Daphnia pulex: one gene and its partner. The protein of the gene in region 2 binds, or shares a complex with, the protein of the main gene of each other region. Links are inferred from orthologs where the notes say so. Each region holds a gene or a part of one and is shown on either strand. Other genes may lie near its edges.

Evidence for each region. Proteins that work in one complex are often made in the same cells at the same time.
Region 1: DNA replication licensing factor mcm7-like (region 2) and protein downstream neighbor of son homolog share a complex: the UniProt entries of both Homo sapiens proteins name them as parts of the replisome complex. The link is inferred for Daphnia pulex from reciprocal best matches to the Homo sapiens genes MCM7 and DONSON.

What each region holds. Positions count from the first base shown.
Region 1 is NC_060027.1:2,499,415-2,503,456, reverse strand, and holds protein downstream neighbor of son homolog, read left to right. Parts: upstream 1-1,235; coding exon 1,236-1,426; intron 1,427-1,489; coding exon 1,490-1,766; intron 1,767-1,798; exon of another isoform or gene 1,799-1,828; coding exon 1,829-2,252; intron 2,253-2,621; coding exon 2,622-2,805; exon of another isoform or gene 2,806-2,806; intron 2,807-2,869; coding exon 2,870-3,083; intron 3,084-3,144; coding exon 3,145-3,462; 3' UTR 3,463-3,661; downstream 3,662-4,042. Other genes in the region: uncharacterized protein LOC124208003, read right to left, coding at 1-297, 363-492, 551-585. UniProt on the Homo sapiens protein: Replisome component that maintains genome stability by protecting stalled or damaged replication forks.
Region 2 is NC_060025.1:5,067,357-5,071,626, forward strand, and holds the start of DNA replication licensing factor mcm7-like, read right to left. Parts: upstream 2,801-4,270; 5' UTR 2,685-2,800; coding exon 2,648-2,684; intron 2,592-2,647; coding exon 2,491-2,591; intron 2,435-2,490; coding exon 2,175-2,434; intron 2,112-2,174; coding exon 2,041-2,111; intron 1,974-2,040; coding exon 1,864-1,973; intron 1,799-1,863; coding exon 1,661-1,798; intron 1,594-1,660; coding exon 1,411-1,593; intron 1,350-1,410; coding exon 1,129-1,349; intron 1,013-1,128; coding exon 936-1,012; intron 873-935; coding exon 661-872; intron 598-660; coding exon 183-597; intron 121-182; coding exon 20-120; intron 1-19. Other genes in the region: single-stranded DNA-binding protein, mitochondrial-like, read left to right, coding at 3,775-3,946, 4,009-4,128, 4,184-4,270. UniProt on the Homo sapiens protein: Acts as a component of the MCM2-7 complex (MCM complex) which is the replicative helicase essential for 'once per cell cycle' DNA replication initiation and elongation in eukaryotic cells.

The DNA.
Region 1 (4,042 bases), on a different chromosome or scaffold from region 2:
TAGTATACCGTGCCTCTTGACACGCTCAATGTGCAAATCAAACAGCAGCTTGTTGGGCGTGTAGTAGTGAGGGTTGGAGTGAACATCCATGTCTGGTGAATAGGTGTCATCGTGAATAAACTGTTGATGCTGGGGAGTTCTTTCACGTGACATTTCATTGGGAATGTTCAGCAGGTCTGGAAGAGGAAGTGCTTGCCGAGTGATCCCATAGAGATTGGGGTTGCACAAGGAACATTGTATCACACTGCTGGAAGTGCTTGGTTGCAGACGGCATTCACAGATGGAAGATCCAGTAGGCTAAAGCAAACAACACAGAATATGAATTTAGCCAATGATTGTACTCCATGACCTAGAAAACTTACAGTGTATGATGGTGTGGTTTCCGAGTTCAAATTACTACCATTTAAATGCAGGTTGTTGATTCTTTTAGACAGTGGCATGAAGTCACATGCATCCGGATCACCATCACTGAGTTGACGTTTTCTCCTGTGACTGATGGTAAGGAATCACTGACATTGTTTGTATAGAAAGCATGGGAAAGCAGATTTACCATCCAGTCTCATTGTTATAATCAGATTCGTCCATAGTATTAAACGATATTGAAAAGCCTTCGATTAATTCGACGTTGTCCTTTTCTTACGAAAAAAAAACTTGTAATACGTTTACAAGACTTCAAAGATCCATATGACCTCCTAGGAAACACAAAGAAATGCATTCAATTCAATTTTAAACAGGATATCAAAAGTGTATAGGCATACAGACACAGAATATGGTTTTCAGATACTTTTGGATCTGAGCTGAGCAGAGACAAAGGAATACCACGAGTTTAACTTAAACTTTTTTTAACGTTAAGGCCTCGTACTTTCGTGTTTGTCATGAAACGTGAAATCATTTCCAACGGGAAGTTGTCTGCTATTAGGGGATAAGATTCCGATATGAAATACGCATCGCCCAAACCATTGAAATACTAAAAAGTAAAAACGCATAAAAAAATTTATTTTAATTTATTTCAGTCTCCTATCATATCTTAAAGCTTCCGCTGCTTTTAATTAAATTTTTATTTGGTGATTTTGAAAATGCTTGAAGCCGCCTTTCGTCAGATGACTGAACTTAGCAGAAGAAATGGCGCTCGTGTTCAATTCTTGTCCACAACTCGTAGAACGAAACGTCCGACAAGATATCAATCAAGTGTTGAATAATAGTCTTATAAATCTGTGGTAATAAACTAAATAAAGATGTCAGGGTCTGTTTGGAAAAAGCCTGACGAAGTTATGAGGCAGATGAGGGATAAGAAAAAAGCCCTCCAAGCACGATTCAGTCATGCATCCACCACGACAGCAACAAATAATTTAGATAATGACGAAGCCTTGGCCCCCACATCGTCCTCGTCAGCAACTGCCTCTGTAAAGAGAAAGAATCCTTTCAGGTATAGTGTAAAATGATGGTATTTTCTCGTCAAAAAATGTCTAACTGTTGCACATCTTGACAGACGCTCCCCAGCCAAGAGGCCAAAACTTCTTACAGTCACTCAAGATGACCAGAGAAATGCAAGTGCCAATGTAGATTTCATGAGCATGTTAAATGCCCCCAATGTAAAAGCTGATACCAATAAAGAGTTGGCTGTGGAACTACCGCAAGCTCTGTCAATATTCACTGCAGTAACACCTGTTTGCCAGAAAGTTGATCAGTGTCCTGTTGATTGGTCCTTAAAGACCAGGGTACGCTTCACCTCCAAATCACCTTTTGCCTTCAGCTCTACTCTCAAAGTATGTTTATCTATATCAAGCAACAAAAATACCAGATTTTATGATTCAGCTTTTCGTCGCAGACGTCCGAGGAGGCTTCTGGAATCACAGGTTTCGTGAGATGCGTCAGCTCTCTCAAATCCGACGAGTGGAGCACGTTGGACACGTCAACAAATGCGCAATTTCATCAATGCTGCTTGTTGTGGCAATATCCTTGGCTGCCTTGGTTATCTTTATTCCCTCGGGACACACGAGCCCCTATCACTTCCACCAGCTCTGTCCAAATCGGCATGGACTCGAGCGTGTCAAATTGCCTGATCAACGACTGGTGTGAAAGCTTTCGCTCTCTTTTCGGACTATTGCGCGCGAGGCAATGCCCATTCTTCTATGTCTGTACTCATCAATTCACCGTTCTCTTTCGAGCTGCTGGAATAGGAGGAGTTGCAGAAATCCATGCTCTATTAACCCCTACCACGCGTGGGATGCGAGAAGTTTTGCGACGAGAAGGTATTAAGGACAGCGATATTTAGTTCATTGGATAAAATCAATCACATGTGTGCCAGGATTGAATGACACATCCATTTTTTCTTTTTTTTTCTTAGCGTTAGTTTGCTATTACGTTTGCTTTTTTATTCTTCTTTTTACTATGCAAAACTTTGAATCAAGAATATTCCATAATTGAATGAGATTTCTAGAGAGAAAATTCGTAGAAAGTACTAGAAGACTTTATAAAACTTGATTTCTTGGAACGTATCAGTTACCATCCGGAGATCGTATTACGATCGTGGTTTCCGATTCGAGTACAAGAAAACAAAAACAAGAAGAAACTTTTGAAAGTGTCTAGAATTTCATTTTCATCTTGATATTTTAATATAGATATCTCATACTCGATGCCGTTGAAGAAAAGTGGTCAAGATCAAACGAACCCTGTGAATAATGATGAAGATGATGAAACCAAAGAAGCTGACAAAGTTGGCGATCTTGATGACGAAGATTGTGACGAAGATGATGCTGACTGGATCAACGATATCGGCCTGCATTCAAATCTCAGATCAAAATTGTGAGACTAATTAATGATTTGCAGATTTTCAACATAAATTCAAATGTCGTTAACATTTTCGTAGGGAGGCTGAAAGGTTGCAGGATGGAGGGCAAGGAACAAGCCAAGGCACCTATGCGGACTCGCTCCTTTTGATCGAAGGTGTTGAGACGCAGGGACTGTTCAACTGGCTTCTAAACAGCAAACTGTGTCTGTCCAGCACTGGCCCATTGACTGGAATTCCTCCAACTCTATTCAGTCCCGTCGCTTTCCATCAGGCCACACTCCGACCCCTCAAGGTAACCGAGTGTCAAAGCATTTCGAAATCTACCATTTCACAATATTGTTTTTCTACCCAAGGCCCGACAAGGTTTTCTGAAGCAAGACGGAGAAAATCTCTACTCCATCGAAGTTCAGGGTCCGATCCTACCCCACTCGATGGTATCGCTAATGAAACTGCTGCAAAGCAGCGATTTCACGGCTGTCTGGACTACGCTATCCAGCACCAAGCCCTTCGCATCATTCCAAAGTTCGACCGCCGCCACTTCTGCATTCGGTAAGGAAAGTTTGAGTGATTGTGGTCTTGACCGGACGAGCCTCGATCTGTTTTGCTCATCACAACTCCCGCCATCCGCTAGCGAGATCCGCTTTCAAGATGGATGTTTTTACTTTAACTAAGAGATAGATCTCTTCTCATTTTTAAAACGTCGAATAAGTGTGTTTTTAAATCATGCTCACTCTACAGTCCAGTTGAATAACAAGTCTGTCAAGAAATCAAATCTTGCCAAATCATGTTATCTTACGACTGATCTCATAATGGTACCATATAAAATGTGAACTTATTGCCGAATGCAATGAATAGATAGTAAAACAATGATTTGGACGAATGTTATGTGACGTTGACTCTGGAAGGGGATATTAACGCAAGTTATGACCATAACTGAATTCTTGTTTGATCAGAGTTAATTGCAATTTTTATCGATTGCGCATTAGCTTGAATTCAACATTCAAAAAGTGGTCCGATAACGTAAAAATAAGAGCTAGAAATTTAAGGTTTTATATAATCACAACTTTTTTCAGTCTGTTCACGGTCCAAGGATTCAACAAGCCAGTCGTGGGAGTGCTTGTGGGGTCATTGCGTGCGATAATACGTAATTAAATCAGTTCAGTATGGCAAAGAAATGTCGTCTCTGAAATAGCCTGTGATTGCAAAATCGTGAAATTATATATTTGTTCGTTGACTTTAAAGCAGAGCAAA
Region 2 (4,270 bases):
ATAACATAAGTATAATTACCAATGCTGTTGATAAACGCAGAATACCCAATAAATTACGGGCCGAGGTGAATGTCATGTCTTTGTTATTTCTTGCTTCTTTACGCATTTCAACATAAGCGCCTATTATAAAATATTTTTAATTATTCAACTAGTATTAATAGGAAAATCTGATGTGTCCATACTGACGATGTAGTCGGTCAAATGTTCTGGGACAGAAGGCTGTTTTTGACGACAGAGAGCAATATACCGTCTCATTAGTTTCATATCAAGCGGCTGCACGCGTGTAGGAGGTTGACAGTAGTGCTGATGAACATACGTAATATGTCGTGCCAGTCTGCCAAATGATTCAATGGGTAAGAAGGCAAATAAGTAACAGATCAAACTCAATAAGGAATTAAGACAACCAAAGTTACACCTTAAGTCATTCTCTCTGTCTGAGCGATCTTGAATCAACCATAAAACGTCAAAACGCGAAAGAAGGGCTGCTGGTAATTGAATATTATGTTCAACAGATTTTTTTGGGTTATATCGACCATAAGCGGGATTGGCAGCTGCTAGTATGGAAACACGGGCATTAAGTGTAGTCATGATTCCTGCCTGAAATATTAATGGTAAGTTAAATAAAAACTTAATTTTAAATTAGTGTTTTGATGAATTTACTTTGGCTATTGAAATAGTTTGTTGTTCCATGACTTCGTGGATAGCCGTACGATCAGACTCAGGCATTTTGTCAAACTCATCAATGCAACAGACACCCTGATCAGCCAACACAAGCGCTCCTCCTTCTAGGGTCATTTCACCCGTAACTGGATCTTTCAGCACGGCAGCAGTCAAACCGACACCAGAAGATCCACGTCCTGTGGTATACTGACCTATTTTTTTTTTTAAATTATTATTATTGTTTTCAAACGTACATTTTGGGCTATTTAAAATACTTCTTGGGGCTAGACGATCGATGAACTTCAGTAGCTGTGACTTTGCAACACCAGGATCTCCCATTAGACAAATATTGCTGTGACGTAAGATAAATAAAAATAATTAGATTAATTTAATACTATTCCTATTCTGTTATGATTCCATGATTTTTTTTAGAAAACATGCATTTATATAAAAAGAAACTAGCCTTACATCGTTCCACGAATTTTCATGCCATTGGGTTTTCGATCAATTCCACCAACAAGCAACAACAACAGCGCTTTCTTAACGTCTTCGTGTCCGTAAATCTCTGGTGCGATGCTTGTAGCAAGCTTCTCGTAAAAGTCTTCTTCGCCGATTTGACGCAGTTCTTCTTCTGTCAGAGTTTCCATGCTCATTTCGTCATCTTCGGTTTTGTTTAACCTAACTACTCTCTGTCAGCAAACAGTTAAGAGCTAATGAACACTATTCAGAATGGAGTTCTAACATATTTACATGTGCTTCGACATAAGCTTCGGAAAGAAGTCCTTGCATTTGTTGACGAAAACCTGCTCGCAACATAGGAAGGAAAATGCCTGTAATGCTGACATGATCTCCAGGTTGAGACAAACGCGTTGTTTCGCCCCGACAATAGACGGTCAAGCACCGCGGTACGTGGCCAACCGGCACTTGATCACTCTTTTGACAAAACAAAATGGTTACATTATGAGTAAAAGTTTAAGTTTTTTTTTAAATATCAGATTACATGTTCCTGTATCTTCAGTTCTTGAAACTTGACAAATTTAGAGCCACGAGTTTGAAGATACAAGCGACCACCACTCTTATTCACTTTGCAATCATCAGTGGGACACATCAACAGCGGCATAAAAGATGTTGAATTAATCTAGAGAAAATACCATATTTAGAATTAGAGGAAAATAACATCAGTGTAAGCTTCTTTGAAATTACAGGTTGATAAGTTTCAGCACCACACTGGTCACATGTATATGTTGCTACCTGCATCATTGGTTTCACTTCAGTGCAACGTGTTACTATGCCACGAACTGTCACTAGTTTACCTAGAATGAATGTGTACAGAAAACTTTTTTAGAAGCCTATCACTAAGCTGAATAATAAATTGCCTACCTATATGAACAGCTTTTACTTCTCTAATGGGTATAGCCTTCTGCAAAGAAGGAGATTTAAAATAAACCTCACTAAAAAAAAATGATTGCTTCAGAAGACATTAATTATTTCAAGAAAATATTAGTGTAGATTACAATCTGCGCATCAATTCTGGAGGATACTTGTGCAGTCTATTTGGTTCATCATTTTGGTGCTGATTTTCAACTATCAGGCGATGATTAATGTAGACATCAAGGGCATCCTTTGCTTCAACATCATGCTCTTTATAGTTGGGTAGCATTTCTTGAACAACTTCCCCAAACAGCAAAGTGTATCGTCTACCATTGTCAACTATCTGTTCTGCTAATTCATCATCAAACTCAGCAACATCTTCCAAATCAATCACTAGTTCAACCTACAACAATCTTGTTTTAAAATAAATTTACGATTGCGAATGTATTTTTACTTTACCTGCTCACGGTGAGCAATTCTAGTTAACTGAGTGGCATATTTGAAGTCTTTACCGTTTTTTCCCACTTTGTGAAATTCGGCGAAAAACGTTTTAATTTTTTCTAAAACAAAAAAAAAAATAATTCCAATATAGAAATGAAATAAGATATTAATTTACCCTTTTGCGCGTTATAATCTACCGGATTCAGAGCCATGTTAAAAGGAAATCGTAGATGGATAACTGCCTAACAGAATCGGTTTATGTTAATAACTGACTCCCTGTGCTGTGTGCTTAACACTGTTTGACAAGTTACTTGGTTTATTGTTCTGCGCAGAAATGGGCGCGAAACGGAGCCCTAACAAACAGCGCTCTGCTGCCATATTTATGTAGTTCTTCGCTTTCATTTTTTTTTTTTTTTATGTATCCCCAGAGTGTATCCCGAATCCCGATCCCATTGGCGCTGTGGCCCGGACCTTTTGGGACGGATTTCTTCTTATATCAGTCAAATTATTAAGCGGTTGTTTTCCTTAATGGGGTTGGAGCCTGATCGGCGTTTAAAAAAAATTTACCGTCCCGCTTGACTGGCTTGAGGCTTGCATCATGTAAAATAACCCAGGTCACGTTATGTCCTGGGTATTAAATCAGGTTAAGGCATGGGTATGGACAGGAGTATGGAGAGATGTTGCCAATGACCATGTTAAATTTCCCATAAGGAGATTCAACGGGAAGCTACTTTTTTACTAGCGACATTTGTATGGACATGATACGGTGGCCTCTTTGAATCAACGCCATCTAGGCTGTTGCGACATATGGACATTCAAAGGGGCCATTTCAAAGGTCGAGTTGACTGTATATATGTCGCAACGTCTTAGATGGCGTTGATTCAACTCGACCTCCATACAAAATCGCTAGTAAAAAAGTAGCTTCCCGTCGAATCCCCTTATAGGAAATTTAACATGATCATTGGCAAGTGGCAACCATTTCTCCATACTCCTGGTTAATAAGGGCACATTTTCAATTTTTATCGATAAATACAATGACTGCGGTAATGAGAACTCGTTTTATCATTATCAATCATAGCTATCTTCAAACTCATAAAAAAGATATAGATTATTAATTTAGAAATTTTTTTTTGATTTTTATGGATCTGGTATGGAATGATTGTTTTATGTGGCAACATTGTTATTGGTAATAATTAACAAACTCCTCAAAATCCAGAAATTTTTTTTAACACAAGTGTAATCTTAAAAAAATAAAATACAGTTTTTCTCTTCGTCTCTCCAGATAAATAAGAAAGAAAAGAAATGTTAACGTTGAAATCAGGAAGTCGTTTCATTTCAAATATGTCTAGATTTGCGTTGAGTCGACAAATATATTTGTCATGTCGCAAACAAGTTGATTCTGATGAATGGAGAACTCACCTTACAAACAACAACACTGGCGAAACTACCCCTCTTACAGTTGGTGTGGAAAAAAGTTAGTTTTAAAAGATTACATTCATTTATATAGTATTTAGGTTCTAATGTTCTTTTATGTAGCTATTAATTCGGTGACTCTGTTGGGTAGAGTTGGCTCAAATCCTGTTAAACGTGGTTCTTTGGAACATCCAGTTGTTACATTTTCTTTGGCTACAAACTCAAACTATAGTTATCCCAATGGTTTGTTAATTGAAATTTAATTCAAAATATTTTAAACTGATTTGTTTTCCTAAAGGAGATGTCAACCAGAAGACTGAGTGGCACAGAATTTGTGTGTTTAAACCTTACCTGAGAGACTCGATATTAAAGTACACTAATAAAG